Drosophila melanogaster: one gene and its partners. The protein of the gene in region 3 purifies or fractionates together with the protein of the main gene of each other region. This does not show direct contact. Each region holds a gene or a part of one and is shown on either strand. Other genes may lie near its edges.

Region 1 (4,242 bases), about 16 Mb from region 3:
TACAAAGGCCAAGCACGTATGTGCCTATATATTTATATAGCTTTAATATAACCGTCGATTGCCCGAGCACTCGAAATACTTATATAGATGGCTGCCATGCGAACCGGGCGCAGTTCCTTGGCACTTTTTTTTCGGCTGCGAACGCGTTGAAAATCGACGAGAAACTAAATTTAAATTATTTCTGAAAGCTTCAACTACCTACCAGTCGTGCGAGAAAAGTGTTTTCCTCAAGAGAACCGATATTTTGGCGCAGAGAATCGATGAGAGCGATTCGAAAATTATTCAAAAATATTCAAGTCCAAGCCAATTGAAAGTTTCAGCCATAAATCTTTACGGGTATCCATATAATATTACTTTTACACTTCAGGTTCCATATTTATCAAAATTACAAAAATGTATTTGATAGAATTAAAGAAAAAAAACACTGTAACTAATAATAATAATAATTACTTCAATAATATCTATTCAAAAAATTGGTTTTCCTAATTTTCCATATTGATTAATAACCAAATTAAACTTAAACAATACAATAATGAAATTATTTAAAATTTTTTAAACCCCAATATTTTGCCTTTGGAATCTTAAGCTTCTAAAATTATAGTTATTACTGCTGTTTTTTTTTCTCATGGCAGATTCTGTTCAACTTGGTTCATTGTGTAATAAGTTGACTTTTTGAAAATTAACATGACTATATCATAAATCTTCTGCTCGATAACCATTGATAACCATTGTGGCAAATGTTAATTTTAGTGGCTATACTTTATTCATATTTAAACTCCACACAAGTATGTGTGTATATCAAGTTCTGATCAGCCTTACTCGATAAGCAATGAGTCATATCCAATGAATTATTTAACCGCTTCTCTGTTTGGCTGGGATTTAGAATGGCCAAATTTAAAAAGCCTTCTAACAAAAATATTCAAATTCATGGGAGGGGCGCATAATAGATGGGATTCTACTCGTAACATCTTTTGGGAAATAACTTAAGAATTAGTTAGCTTACGGAGTAGCAATCTAAAGCAAAGTTACATCTTATTTAAATACACTACTGAAATACATTTGTATGTTAAATTAAATATGCTCATTCCTTTGGTTATTCCCCGATTTGTATTGGAATTTATTTAGCAAACCATAAAATCGACAGGGTACATTGTACATTACATTTGTGTGGGTGTGAGTGTGTTTACCTCGTTTTAAATAATAAACTTCATTGTTCTCAATGCGTATGGACAATATGTTGAAATTCGTATTATGTATAAATTACTTAGAGATTATCAATCGCTAAGAGCTAATGCAGGTTATGTGGGCCCTCTTCGTGCGCGGCCTGTTTTGTGAGTGGGTGAGTAAATACGATTCAAATGAAGACCAAACGAATCAACAACGTTGCACAGCAGCACCTATCATGTTGCGGGCGCTACTGTCGCCTGATCCTCGACAGATTCGTTAGACGTCGTCGCTGGCGGCGGTGCACTGGTTGTGTTGACTGCAGGTCCGTTATTGTTATCATTCGCCAGCGGCTCTTCCCCCGGCGGCGCCGTCTCCAATGTCACACTTGGTGCTTGTGTTTCACTTTGACTATGCACTGGTGCAGTGTTAAATGAGTTCGTGGTGCCGGCGACTTTAGCCGGTTGCTCCGGACTGCTGTACATCTGGATAACCGAGTTGTTGTTCATGTTTTCCACCGAGGCGCCCGATATGGACAGATCGTCGGCGGAGTCGTCCGCCGTACTGTCCGTTTGCACAGCCTTCTCCTCCAGCAGGTGGTCGCTCTCACGAATCGGTCGCTGCGAGGAGCCGTACTGCTTGGAGATTTGCAGCAGCTCGCGCAGCGTTTCGTTCTCCAGACGCAGCTGGGATATGGTCTGCAGCTCTCGCTGCACGACACCGTCATCTACACTTGCAGCTAGCTGCATCACTGCTGCCATTTCGTTGATCTTCTCGCGCTGCTCCCGGATCACCTGCCACATGCGTTCGTTGTACAGCTCCTTAAAGCTAAACTTGCTATCCAGGACCTTGGAGACGGTGTGCTCGCGATACTTTTGCATCATCAGCTCCATGGCACGCTCGTAGTCCTCAATGAAGATCTTTAGCTCGCGATTCTCTTTGAGTATCTCCGAGCTGTTGATGTTTTGCTGCTGAATGCGATTCACCATGTCCGCGTTGGTCTTGTTGTTCGAAATGCGGTTGAGTGATTCAATGTCGTCCTGATACTGGCGAAGGCTCTCCACCAGCCGATTGTTGTTCTCCGCCTCCTCGAGCAGCGCCGTGCCCAGGGCGTCCAGGTCCTTCACCCGACTGGCCATGCGCTGCGCATCCATTATAATCTGGCCCACGGATAGGTTCGACATCCTGCCCAATTCAGTCCAGTTGCGATTTTTGGATTTGTATTGTTTTCGGGGGCCAGGCCCTCTGCTGCTGGCACTGCGAAAACAAAGGGAACCGCTTAAATTTGTGCACTTTCTGGGGCCTACGAGCAGTGTCTTACGTTCGGTGCGGGTAAGGTGCAGCTTCGTCCCTAGCGTAACAGCTTCATTTGATTTTCCGGCCAAAATATGTAGGAATAGAAACGATTTTAATAGAAATTTTGACGACGACCCAATTATTGGCTGACAGCTTATTAAATCCCAAACGCCATCGGATGTTGCACAAATCCCTAACGCCACTCATTGAATGCGAAAAAATACTGTTTCAACACTTGATATACCGCAAATATACCAAAGATTTAAATTATAATTTTGTTTTTTAACTTTTAGCTTGAGATGTCATTTTTTTGGCTAAATCCTTTATGTTTATGTTAAAAAACTCTTTTAAGGTTAAAAGGTGAAGCTACAAGCTTTATTGTCATTTTTGTATAGGTCATTAAGAAGCTATCAGTACAGATTTTGATCTTATCGCGAAAAATGGAAGACTTAGCGTAGAATGGACATAATGCTATGTTCTTAAACGATCATGCATACATAAATCTAGTTATGTCTATTTAAGTACCTATTTAAGTACAAACAGCAAAGGTTTTGTCATTCAAAGTGGTAGATAAAACAGAGGTAGAGGAATAGCATGGTACATCGGGCGTAGGGATGCACAGACTAAAGATCACGAGATTGCGATTACACGCCAACGCTGTTGAGGCTGCCGGAGGAGAGGTTCTCGGAGCGACTGGACAGACGGGGGCGTTTCATGAGTACACGACCCGGCTTGCCGGGATTTTCGATGGAACCCGCCTCTGCGGATTGATTTAGATTGTTGTTGTTGCCGTTGTTGGAGCCATTGCTGCCGCCAGCACGTTCCAGCGTGCGTTGTGAGCGACGCAGCGAGGAGGAGGACATCCTGCGCAGCGTGGGATCGTAGTCATAGCTCGACGGCCGCTGATAATAGGGCGCATCCTGGTCTGTGTCATTCTTCTCCTCCAGCGCCTGCTGCTGCTGCTGGGCGAGTGGATTCAAGGTTATGTGGATGTGTCGTGTTCGCTGGCGCTGCTTGGTGGGCGAGCAGTTGCCCAGCGGCACAAAGTCATCTCTCAGCTCCGCCATCCGTGGCTTGTTTGGATTGTTTCCCCGGCTTCTGGAATTCCTACGCCGGCAAACACAGAAACAGGTGCTAATCAGAAGCAGAATGAGCACTGCCCCGCCGCCGATTGTTCCCGTCAGCATGGGACTCATATTGAATGTCTCGTTATGACTGGGAGTTGTTGTATCGCGGTCGCCCATTTGCAGTGTTGGCTCCTCTGTGGTGCTGGTTTTGGGACGTTGGGTGCGCCCCTGCTTAAGGGCACTAAATTCGGATGCAGAGGCGGCACTGAAGGACTGCAACTTGAACTCGTACATGGTGGCCGTCTCGAGGGGTGCTATTTTAAAGCTTCTAGCATGGGCTCCTTCAATGGTTGCCTTGAAATATTCCCCTGCCGAGGACGAGGGTCGATAGTAGGCGTAGTAGCCAGTGATCAGGTGTTCATCCGCATCGCTGGCTAGACTCCAGTGCAGCACCACAGCGGTTTCAGAGTATTCCTCGATCTCCAGAAGCTCTGGCACCGGCATCGGATCAAGTGCTGCACCTGGCTGCAGGTAAAATTTCGCCGAGGTATTACTTTCCTTATTGTCATTGTTGGAGTAAACGGCTAGGATGCGGAAACGATAGGTGTGCTGAGGCTTCAGGTCCGTCACCGAAGCCGTGAAGCTCTTGCCCAGCTCGGAGTTCCACTTCGGTTTTCCATACGGTATATTATCGTTGGTTGTCTGCCAGTTCTTG
Region 2 (4,641 bases), about 15 Mb from region 3:
GTTGCGACAAGGACGTTGCTGCATTCACAGCAGTCGGCACTGACACACAAAGAGATTTGCGATGTGCATATGGAAGTATATAAATAGATCCAGGCGGCCGGGCAGGGAACGGATGCTACGACTGCTGAAACAGAGCCATCTCGGATGGCGTCGCCTCTGCCTCTGCTGCCCACCCGAACCAGATTTATTTTGGCCAAAAACGCCAAACAAGGCGAACAGGTTCATAAATCGCGGCGACAAATTTGCGTTGTCAACTTGGTTCCTTTTTTTTTGTGGCCACTTTTCCACATTATGATGATGCAAAGCAGGGGAAGAGACGGATTTGAATGTCACGTTGCATTCAGAGCGTAACGGACTGTGCCTCGTTATCGATACCGCTCGTTATCTGGCCACTTGGCAGGTGAAAGCGATAGAGCGTGGGTCGACATTGACATTGACGATGGCCATGGAGGCGCAGGGTGGCGCAGGTTGGAGGTGGAGTAATCTCCTTCGAAATTACGATAATGTTATCCAACCCGCGGTTACACTCATTTTACATTTTTTGGGGGCTTTCAGGCTTTTTGGCCATTCGTCTGCGACAAACAGAGCATAAACACTCGATGACGGCAATTGCTCAACTCGATTCGCTTGCATGCGGACATGGCGGAGGCAAGGCGGTGTGGTGGCTCCTCCTGGCCGTTTTCCTTGCATGTTCATGCATTAGCGCCTCGGAAAATCATTGAAATGGAAAGTGAGCCACCGCTGTCGATAAGCAAGGACCTTTTAAGCACTCCCTGGGCCTTGCCAAATTGCCTTGCTTTTGGTTGCATAGTATTCTTTCTAGGACAAACAATTTGCAGTTTCATTGGTTCTTTTATACTAAGCACTATACTGTCACTATCTGCACAAAGTTCACGCTATAAAGTTTACTGTAGTCCGTGAGTCCAGTACCTACTTAATCAATAGTGAATAAAATAGTGGAGGATGAGAACTAAATCAATGTTCAAACTAATAATAAGGACATTGTTAAGATCTTAAGCTGATTTTCTGATTCACCTATCTCAAAGTACGAGATTAATCGAATATTAAAGAGGAGCTATTAGCAATTCAGTATTTAAGGATCACTCACCTGCAATTCGGCCCTGTCCACGTCCCACTGTGATCGCTCCAGCTCGAAGCGCGACCACTCGTGCTGGATGAAGTGCAAGATGCCCGGTATTGTGTATTGGGGCGTTGTGGCCTGCTGGTTATTTACACCGCCGCCCACCATCCCGTTTCCGCCGTCGTCGCCGCCAACGTTGCCCATTCCGCCCACATTGGCGTTCTGTCCACCAGCGTTGAGGCCGCTGATGCTCAGACCGCCGCTGCCGCCACCGCCCAGGCTGTTCGACAGGACACCGCCGATCGAGGAATTGGCACCGCCCACACCGCCGCCTACAAGGACGCCGGCTCCTGTTGCACCGCCAACCGGCTTGTTGTTTATGCCAGCGGTGGCTCCCGAATTGGTGCCCATTGGTTCACGTCGCTCTCAGTGGCTGTGCTGTGTGCCAGGTGTTTCCTTTGCCTGCTCCGGTGATCCTTGTGCCCGCTGATCCTGCTCTCCTGATCCTCTCCTGATTCGTTGCCAGCTGTCTGCCTTCAGGTGCCCAGTGCACGGTCCTTTGTTTGTCGCTCTCTCGGACTTGTTTGTTCACTGGTCCTACGCTATATCCTGTTTGGTGTTACGTTTTTTTTTTTTTGCGTTTTTAGGTTGGGAAAGAAAAGCAAAGTTCGGCACATGAAACAAATGAGGTCATTGAATTTTCCGAATAGAAGGGCGACGAGGGTAAAGGGGGGAGCAGTCGCAGGACACTCGCTGGCTGCCTCCCTCTCGTTCGCACTCTCTTTATGTACTACACTACGTTTTCTCGCACCGGAACCGCCCCCACATTCCCCGCTCTCTCACACGCTCACACTCTCTATCTCTCTCTCTTCCTCTTTACGGTACTCGCGATTCTCTCTTTTGCGTTCTAGTGTTGCCAACGGCTTACGGGAAAAGCGTAACTTATAGCACAAAAAGCCGTAAAACAGCTGATGTAACGCAAGAGTTAAAACGTTTATCAATTTAAGCGGTGGATCGGCTGGTAATCACGTCTTGGAAAGGCGATTATTGGTAGGAAAATTAAACTGACACACACACACACACGCACACTCACCCAGCTGCAGGGAAATTTGAATGGCACACACACATACAAACGCACGGCGGGGTTTTTGGTGGGGTTCTTGTTTCTCTTCGTTTTTTTGTGCTTCAATTCTTAAACTCTTCTAAGTGTCCAGCTGAATCTTGAACTGCGTCTTTGTTTTTCTTTGCTGCCTGGGCAGCCGATGCCAACGTACTCGAACCTTATTTAATAACTTTGGCTCGTTAACTTGACAATTTTGTTTACTATTTACAGCTTTTTCCAAGGAAACGTTGTTGCTACCTTTCACAGGGTTTACACTTTTGTGTGCGAAGAGCAAACGACTATTTGGAAGGGAGATGGAGAGAGCGCGAAGCGGGCAGTTGTATTAGTCCGTAATTTTGTGCATAATTGCACCCGCTTGCAATCACTAATTAATTAAGACGAACGCTGGGGCGATGCACACAAAAAGTCGATTTGATTCGGCCGCACATCAGAATGTTTGGCCTGTAACTCTGAAATAACACACAGAGTAGCAGTGACCGCACAGCCTTTTTCCCGCTCGCACTCGCGCACCTGCACCGTCCCGTCTGCCGTCGTGTATGGCCGTCTCGCTCTGCGAGTCTATATACAAAGAAAAACACACACACACTGGCACACTGGTGTTCGCATATGCCAAAGCCGAGTTAATTTCACTTTGTTTAATCTATCGTTTGGTGTTTTTGCATTTTTTAACCGCGCAAACGGTATTTGCGCGTTTTGCGCCTCTTACTTTGCGATTTATTGCACCGCTTGGCTGTGTTTTGCAATTTCTCTCTTAATTTTCATTGGTATTCACGCGTAATGTAATTCTTAGCAGCGTGACCGCGCCGATAACGATAAAAAATACCACGGGACCAAAAATAAATACCATATGATACCACTTCAGGGAAAAGAAATCCTATTTAATACCACTCACTTTAAAAATAAGTTTTTAAAAATATATATTTTTATTTAAAAAAAGTTGTATTTATAATCAAATACTCGGTACTAATTAATTACTCGAGGACAATTAATTTTGACAAAAGGGGTTTCATTATAAAATATATATTAACCGCTTACACATAATCCCCAAACAAAACAGCGATTGGGATTTAAAAGGTTCTAAGTCCATCATTATAAAAGATCATTTCCGAAAAACAAAAAGAAATAGATTTCAAAATTAGGCGACATCAGCCCGCTGATAAAGAAACATCAAAAAGACAGAGGCTTATTTCAGCGAGTCAGAGACTCCTACTCGCCAACAATCGAAAACATAGAGAAGATATAGTCGCCAACCGATCTGCCTTCTATAGTGTTGCTTATTGTTGTCCCCTAATCAAATTAATAAAAATCTGCATTAGGCTGCTTCGCCGGCCAGCAACAAATGTTTTACACCTACTGTACTTTTCGCAGAACAGAGATCCAAATGCAGGATCGTTTCCATGACTGTACATTTATTCGGATTAGACATTAAATTACACCCTACAGCTATACATACTAACAGTGAACACGGCAAATGCTTAGCTAGCATTGGGCCACTTTCGTTGACTGCGAATAAAAATGATTGGCCGATGCCTTTAGCAGATTCCTTTTGATCGAATTACTCGGATGGCTTGTGTGTCCACCTCTTACAAGAACTCCTCGCACCAATCGTTGAGACAGTTGTAGCAATCGGATGCCTGTTTGGAGCTGGCGTGGCACACCTCCTTCATCCAGTCCTTGAACAGCTCCTCGTCCTTTTTCAGCACCAGATACTGTCCCAAAACGGTGTAGGCCTAAAACGAATGGAAATGATCGTTAGCACTTGACTGGCATTGTTTATTTGCGCACATGGCGTCATCGTATTTACACACGCACCATATCGAATCCAGCGTCCTTCAAGCGTCCACCGAGGGTTTCCCCAATTCCGGCCAGTTCCGTCACCGACTTGTTGCCCATTGGCTCCGCAACGAAGTTCCTGTGTTTCTGCGATGTGCCCGACATGTTTGTAGTTTGCTTTGCTGCTGCACGTTGCGAAATTCCAATGCTTAGCTAGATTTCAATGGCAAAATATTCGCGGCGTTTCTGAAAATGACGCACAGCCAGTGTGGCAGCAAGTGATATTTTCGAAAATGCAACAACACATCTAGATATACTAAACAAAATTAGGCAATGTAATAGGCCACGTAATTCTGGCTTTACTCATTTGCGCACCCAACAATTAACAAAGTTTAATTATTCTTTTACATAGCATTGGCAAAAAATAGAGTTTTATAAGATGCACTCAAAAATGTTTCTTTGAAATTGCGGATTACATATTTTTGTAATCTACTTAATCTACTTAGGTCAAATGCCAGCAATATTTTACATGTAAGATGTATGCTTACATGGTTTGATGTATGGTATTTTACATGACCGTTTTAGATTTTGAATACTTAAAGTTTTCTATAAATTTGAAATTTGTTATAATGTTAGTGCATTAAAGTATTGCATTTGTGAAAAA
Region 3 (7,603 bases):
AGATTTTCCTCAACGTCTACAAGCTTTTCCTTACTTTCCGCATTAGGGGCTGACAATTTCGTTGCAGCCGAATCCTCTAAAATTGTATGTGTAGTTGAAGAATGGTTTTTAAAGTGATCCACGATTTCGGATGTATTTCTGCTAACGAACTCTGTTGGAACTGAATCGTTTGCCATATCCTCCTCCTCCTTAACTTTGCATTCAAAGGCTTCATCGTCACCATTAAAAATAGCTTTAAGCACTGAAGATCCTTCTTCTCCCTTGCCAAGATCGGAGTTCTTTAGCAATCTTAAGACGTTCGATTTATAATTGCCTTCTTCTAAATCGGGATTACTTAGTTTTAGCTTCTAGAATTAAATAGGAATATATTAATATATAATAGCATTAAGACTGCTATAAGCATTACCCTTTTTTTCGTTTCAGACAACACATTTTTAGCTGGTGACACAGACAAAATATCATCGTCAGAACTTTCATTATCATCCCTTTCATTTAGCGCTCTATCTTGAGCGTGGTCATAATCGTCAAGATTTATTGTATCTAAGTTTTTTAAGACAATTCGCTCCTTCAAATGTTCAGTATCAGACTCAGATAAATCGCGATGGATTCGCGAGACCTGCAGACGAAGCTCCTTAAGCTCGAGCTCCTGCGTCGTCAGCTTTCCATTTAGCACCTCTAAGCTGCGTGATTCTTGCTCTTTAGCCTCTTGTTCTTGGCGCACTGACTCCTTCTTGAATTCCATGTACTCCTGCTGAAGTTCCTCTAACCGGGTATTGAAATCAGTCAGCGTCTGCTTTAGTGTTAGAACTTGAGCGCGAAGTATGCCGCACTCGTTTTCAGAAGTGGCGTAGGCCATCTCCATCTTAGAGAGCATTTGCATAGCATCGCAGCGTTCCTGGTAGACCTTCCGCAGGGCCTCTTTGGCAGTCAACTGGTACGTTGTTTTGTCCTCAAGAAGCTTTACAATCTATTGAAGACAAAGAGAGAAATATTAAAAAAAAAAAATCAAATTTTACCAAAATATACTTAAAATTTTTTGCAGACAAAATTTTAATATTCAAAGGAGCTACTGACCATTAAGTCGGAAAAAGGTCCTCTTCGAGTTTTTTAAACCCATTTATAAGGGTATATTAATTTCTTTCAAAAAGCTAAAAGGTTGAATTTTCGAGCTATAGAATATTTCCTGTATTCGGTACCTTTTTGTTGTTTTGTCTTATTTCACGCACAAGTTTAAAATCGCATATTCGTATGGTCTCAATTTGCTTGCCTATCTGTATTTTTACCGTTCTGTATGAGTTCTTTGTTTTAGAGCCCTAGAGCACATGTATGTACAGTTTGTCAAGAAACTGTTTACACACTGTAAAATAAGTTGACTTTTTGACTTTAAAGCTAAAAATAAAGGGTTTTTTGCTTAATTAAACGCAATTTTTTTATAAAATATTATTAAACAATATTTATTTTACTTATAAATCAAAAAACAAATTAAAAATATTAAATATACAAGAAAATAAACAACAAATTCCAAGTTTACACACTTTTGAGACTGTCAAGAAACTCTTTACACAAAACACTAAATCGAAGTTTAATCCTAAATTTTTTAATTATTTTATTAAAATTTTAAAAGTTTTGGTATGTAGTATGTTCCCCATTGGCTTTAGCTACAAGTTGAAGCCTTTTTTTCATGGATTGGACAAGTTTTTGCAGGTCATATTCAAACGGGATCTTTTCACACTCTTCGACTATTACAGTCATAAGCTGTTGTTGTGTTTTAGGTCCCTTTTTGCCACCTTCTTCTTTAAGTAGGTCCACAAATTTTCAATGGGGTTCAGATCAGGACTCTGAGGGGGCGTATCGATCACTTTACCACAGTTATTAAGGCGCCAGGTGCGTACATTGCACTCTTTATGTTTCTGATCATGTCTTGGTAAAACTTAAAATTTGGCTTGTTGTTGCTAACCAGACTAATTTTTTCTACACTGGCCTTCAAATTTGTTTTCTAACATTTCTAGATATTGCACGGCATTTATTGTGCTCTCAATTAAGGCTAGTTTTCCCACTCCACGGCTGGTGATACAGCCCCACACCATCAGTGACATTTTTCCAAATTTTATCGTTGGAATGATATTTTGTTTTTCTAGCGCACTCAACGGTTTGCGCCATACTCTGCTTGGCCCGTCGTTATAAAAGAGCATCATTTTTGTTTCGTCACCAAATATGACGTCATCCCAGTACTCTTCCGCATGATCTATCATGCTCACAGCGAATAAATGACGCTTTTCAATATTGGCATCTGACAGCAAAGGGTTTTTCCTTGCAACTCTTGAAGAGTACCTATGGCGTAGGATGACTTGGAGCACAGTTTCGTGTGACACAGCTAGGTGACATTCTTGCCTGATATCCAGAGCAAGTGATCTGACCGAGATTCGGGGGTTCGCAATCACTATTCGCATAATAAAGCGGTCTACACGCTTTTTAATTTTAATTTTCCGCCCACCACCACTCTTAGGTTCAAGCCTGCCCTCTTTTTCCGAGCCTTTTAAAACATTGTAGACGGTCTTACGGGATACAGGAAACATTTATACTAATTCTGGAAAAGATTTTCCCAACTGGTGGTTATAGTTTATTAATTGGGTAACTTTAAAAGTTAATCTCTTTCCAGGCATTTTATTAAATTTAATAATTCGCTTTAAGCACGTTTGATCAGCAAAATTTCACAAGCAAAGTCAACAAAATTTCAATAGAAGCGTTGTAAAAAGCAATGCAAAGCCAAAAATAACGGAAAAATCGAGTTCGTTCTAAGAAAAAGAACAAAACAAAGTAGGAAAACAAAATGTGTAAAGAGTTTCTTGACAGTCTCAAAAGTGTGTAAACTTGGAATTTGTTGTTTATTTTCTTGTATATTTAATATTTTTAATTTGTTTTTTGATTTATAAGTAAAATAAATATTGTTTAATTATATTTTATAAAAAAATTGCGTTTAATTAAGCAAAAAACCCTTTATTTTTAGCTTTAAAGTCAAAAATTCAACTTATTTCACAGTGTGTAAACAGTTTCTTGACAAACTGTATATACATTAGAATATAACTCTTTTAATTCTGTAAATTAGAAAGTGTGGGGTGGGAAACAGCTTTTGGTATCAAATAGGAGTCCCTTATTTTGTACAAAAATAATAGCAATGATCTGTTCGTATCAAATGTGAGGATTGGGTCAGCAAAGCACAATTTGTTTAAGGATTTATTTTTTCTGTTATATAAAAACTGAGAAAAAAAGAGAAAATATACTTTAACCTAAAAATTAGAAACAAATAAAAAGTAACGTTTACAAAATATGTATAACAAATTACTCCACTGGCACCAATCGGTGGCACCAAAATACCATTTGCTCACAATTAAAATACAATACACCTTATACAAATGATTATAATTAATGCGTATTCAAATAATAAAAATGAAGGAATCAATGAATGAATAACAAAATGAAACTCTAAAGCCATTATATACTGCTTTGTTTTAAAGGCACAACCACTAGATATAATTTGATGGGACCGAATTAAATTGCTTAGATTCAGATTTGCTTAATTTTTGTGCATTAAACATTTTGATTATGTTTGTAGTTAAGACAATTCATTATAAGATTTGGTTCAATTTATTTTATCTTGTCCGGTTTGGGAAACAGATTTATTAAAAATTTGCATATTGAAATCTTTAAATTAAAAGGAAAACACAAGTGTGCAAAAATGGTTTTTTAGAGATTCCGTTATACAGGCTAACGGAAAGGTGTGTACGTATTTATGAACAAACTTTTTTAATTGTTCGTGTGAAAGGTTTTTGAGGTTTTGCTTAGTTTCATGCTTAATACCAGTATTCTTGCTTTCATAGTTGTCCAGGATCACAGGATAAAATTGTAAAAAATAAACAAAGGCTTAATTTTTTAATCGGTCGCTAATGGGACTTACCTCGTTTCGCAGTGCATTCTCTGGAATGTTCTTTTCCATCATTTGCAGTTTCTTTTCCAGAATATTTATCTTGTGAAGCAATTGGTCTTCAGTGATCATGCTTTGCCAACACATCGCAGAGTTCTTTCTGGTGTTATCAAGGACGCCTTGCAAGCTGCTTAATTTAGCTTTCAGAGATTTTTCCCTTTGTGCAGCCTCTTGGAGGAACGAGCTTAGGCGCTGCACTTCATCAAAGCTGATTCGGTTAGGCACAGTCAACATCATCTGCTCTGCCTCAACTGAAATGGCCTCTTGTCCATTGGGTAGAAAGAGGGCGACACGGGCCAGGATACACCCGTGTACCTCCTGACGTGAATTCTCAATTACCTCAACGCCGAACTTCACAATATCGCCATAATGTAGTTCCGCTGGATCACTACCCAACTTGTTGTCGTTAATAAAGGTACCGTTGCTGGATTTTGTGTCTTTGACCCAGAATTTACCGTCTGGAGTGTACCACAAAATCGCATGGTTTCTTGACAATACTTTACAGTCAAATATAGCGTTCCCCTCACCCGCCTTACTTTTAGCTATAAGGCGGCCCACCTTGCAATCCTGGTTGGGCTGCAGCAATATAGATCTCGTTTCAAACTTGTGCGACTTTGGTTCACATAGGAGTACGATTTTTGCTGCACCCTTACATGGCGTTGGGGCAGACTCCAATCCTATGTCTAGATCTACGCCAGAAGTTGGGGGCACTGAAGAGACTTGTAAAGTGCCGCATTCCGATGCCACCTCCCTTTGTAAAGCACTATTGTTTAGTACTCCTAGTGGGCTAAACAGACTGCAGGCAGTAGTTACTCGAACTCCAACCCCGGTGTTATTTGCATTCAGCACAGAGTTCATGGCCATATTCATAGCATGCTGGGAAACTTCAGCCGGACGTCGGTCAATACATACTGTGTTGGAATCACAAAGTTCCATATTATTATTTTCCTGGTTCTTCGTGGACGCCTCGTTGTTACTATCAGCCATATCTTCTTTTATGTCCATTATATGAAAGAAATTGTCCTGCTCCAAATTTTTTTCAGTTTCCATGTTTAAAGCGTATTGCGCCTCCTCTGGCTTCACAGCAGGTTCTTCCCCGGATGGATATCTGGTCGTCTGAGGTAATTCCGTGGCCGTGTCGGTTGTGCCAGTTCTGTTTAATGCCGTTGATCCGACTGCTCCTGATGCTGGCGTCGGCGATAATGAACTTGACGTCTGGTCTTCATCAACATTATTTTTTAACCACTCATTGCACACCAAGACCATTACTTTACATCCAAACAAACCTTTGGGGATACGAGAACAAAAGCGGATTAACAAGTTAGTAATTAGTAATACACGAGTGGCTGCTGTTTGACAAATCCGACTAGCCGAAACATTGACAATGAATCCAAATTTTAAAGGCCTGCTTTAATTTAATGTAACTATAAAATTTGTCTTTTCCCGATGAAAATTTGAAAAGGTTTCCGACCACATAAGATATACACACATATGTAAATGCATACATACATACATACATACATACAGAATGAATTTGCATTTGATACAAAAATATGTACGTTCAATAGCAATGTTTTCAAGAATTATTGTAAACAAAAAACTATGCCATTAGTTGGTCATTCTTATGAATTAAGCAATTTTCGAGTTAAGGATGTGCCGATTAATTACGACAACTTAAACCAGGCATTAAAAATGTTTGGAACGGTTGGAAATTGTTTACTTTTTTGATTTAAAAATAAATTATATGGTACGGGGAGGACCGCTTAAGTTCAAGAACATTAAATTCGCAATAATATAAATGTTTGATATTGCGCAACGTTTTTACCTTTATTTTACAATGCACGCTTGGCTTACCTTGGAATTTTGTAATTTTCCTGTATTAATTGTTGCAACCTTCTACCCGTGTTTTTTAGTTTTCTTTAACTTTGAACAATTGTTGTACAAAAACACCTGGTTTCGCGGTAAATTTGTGTGCATACTTAAAATATTTCCGTCAAAATAGCGACAATCAACTGGTGATGAACACGGAACGATGAAAAAAGCGCTAAGCATTATTGTATATAATAATATACAATATACCAGTTTATATACCATATACCAGTTTCTATGTTGACATGCAACGATAGAACCATTCCATTCTGCAATTTCATTTCCAATAAATACAAACAATAATTTTCTAAAATTTTTATAAGAAATAAGATTTAAGAATTTTAAAATGTTTTAGAGCAATGTCGTATGCTAGAAAGGTTAAGAGTATGTTTGTAGTCGGCATACAAATGTTCTGCAATTACATTTCCAATAAAAAGAAACAAATAATTTTCTAAAATTGTTATAATAAGAAAGGAGATTTCGGAATTTTAAAATGTTTTAGAGCAATGTCGTATGCTAGAAAGGTTAAGGGTATGTTTGTAGTCGGCATAAAAATGTGTTTCCGAACCTTAAAGTATAGTGTACTCCTGATCATAAACACTATTCGATCAGGTCCGGTCTGTCTGACTGAAGGCTGTGATCTCGCAAACTACAAAATAGAGCTGGAAGAAACATCGGAGATAGCGCTACATAGATATTTAAAAAAAAATCGGAAACATCGAAATTTTCGGACATCGATGTTAGATTTTTCTGTTTTACCCATCACCATTTGCAGGGAAAGATCTTGCTAAGCTAATCGGCTAATGGCAAGACAGACAAATGTATTAAGTGGGGCAAGACACCAAACAAGTGCGAATAATACTAACTTGTCTTGCCACGTAATGAGGATACATATTAATTTAACAGTCAGTGAATTGCCACAAAGGCAACAGCAGTCAATTCTGTCATTTATTGACAAAATAATGAAACGTTGACGAATCGAAAACAAGTGCTCTACGCTACTACATTGGCTCAGACTTGCGCGGATTCGGATTTCGACGAAACAACTTATTTTTCTGAAAACATTGCAAACTTAATCCGCACAGTAATTGATGAACGCCCATATAGTTTGAAACAATAGAAATAGGTTATAGAAAATAAAATATATATGTATAGAAAATCCAGTTGGAATGGCGCGTTTTACCTGCTGAAACGATTTTTGATTACAAAGGTTGCTATCGCAACTGTTCTACTGAACCAAAGTCTCTAGAATAATAAAGAATTATTGTAGTGTCTTTGACTGAACACTCTCAAAGGGTTGGTTATTGCCGTAAATATCGAATAAAATATTCATTTTCGAGGATTTGAAGGCAATACTTTAACCTTTAGAGCATGCAACGGTTAAAGTTTACAAATTGTTCAAAATTGTGGGCGTGACCGGGTTGACGGCTTTTGGTCGTTAGAGTAGGCGTGTAAAAAGTTTTTGGCATATCGATATAAATTTTAGCGACTAATAGAATTATGAAAAAAATATCGAAAAAAGGTTTAAAAATGTGTGTTTTGCGCGGCATTTTTGGGAGGTTTTAGGGCGTTAGAGTGGGGCTGGCAGGTTTGTGTGCGTGGCAACATGGGTCAACCAACTTGCGCTGCGTCTTTTTCTGTGTTCTAGCTTTTTAAAATTCCTGGGATCTCGACGTTCATACGGAGAGAGGCCAGATAGACTCGGCTATTGATCCTGATCTAGAATATTTACACTTTATATGGTCGGAAACG

The links. The genes of interacting proteins can lie anywhere in the genome.
Region 1: the proteins of Slmap (region 3) and Fgop2 purify together in Drosophila melanogaster (affinity purification with western blotting; 3 studies listed by BioGRID, with this or other methods). This does not show direct contact.
Region 2: the proteins of Slmap (region 3) and Cka purify together in Drosophila melanogaster (affinity purification with western blotting, with the first as the bait; one study listed by BioGRID). This does not show direct contact.

What each region holds. Positions count from the first base shown.
Region 1 is NT_033779.5:6,942,649-6,946,890, forward strand, and holds Fgop2 (fibroblast growth factor receptor 1 oncogene partner 2), read right to left. Parts: upstream 2,642-4,242; 5' UTR 2,486-2,641; intron 2,422-2,485; 5' UTR 2,349-2,421; coding exon 1,401-2,348; 3' UTR 530-1,400; downstream 1-529. Other genes in the region: ihog (interference hedgehog), read right to left, coding at 3,105-4,242.
Region 2 is NT_033779.5:8,029,109-8,033,749, reverse strand, and holds the start of Cka (connector of kinase to AP-1), read right to left. Parts: upstream 3,030-4,641; 5' UTR 2,911-3,029; exon of another isoform or gene 2,175-2,910; intron 1,691-2,174; 5' UTR 1,493-1,690; coding exon 1,109-1,492; intron 1-1,108. Other genes in the region: baf (barrier to autointegration factor), read right to left, coding at 3,788-3,934, 4,017-4,142.
Region 3 is NT_033779.5:22,577,486-22,585,088, reverse strand, and holds the start of Slmap (sarcolemma associated protein), read right to left. Parts: upstream 6,018-7,603; 5' UTR 5,837-6,017; intron 5,340-5,836; exon of another isoform or gene 5,269-5,339; 5' UTR 5,249-5,268; coding exon 3,956-5,248; intron 968-3,955; coding exon 407-967; intron 348-406; coding exon 1-347.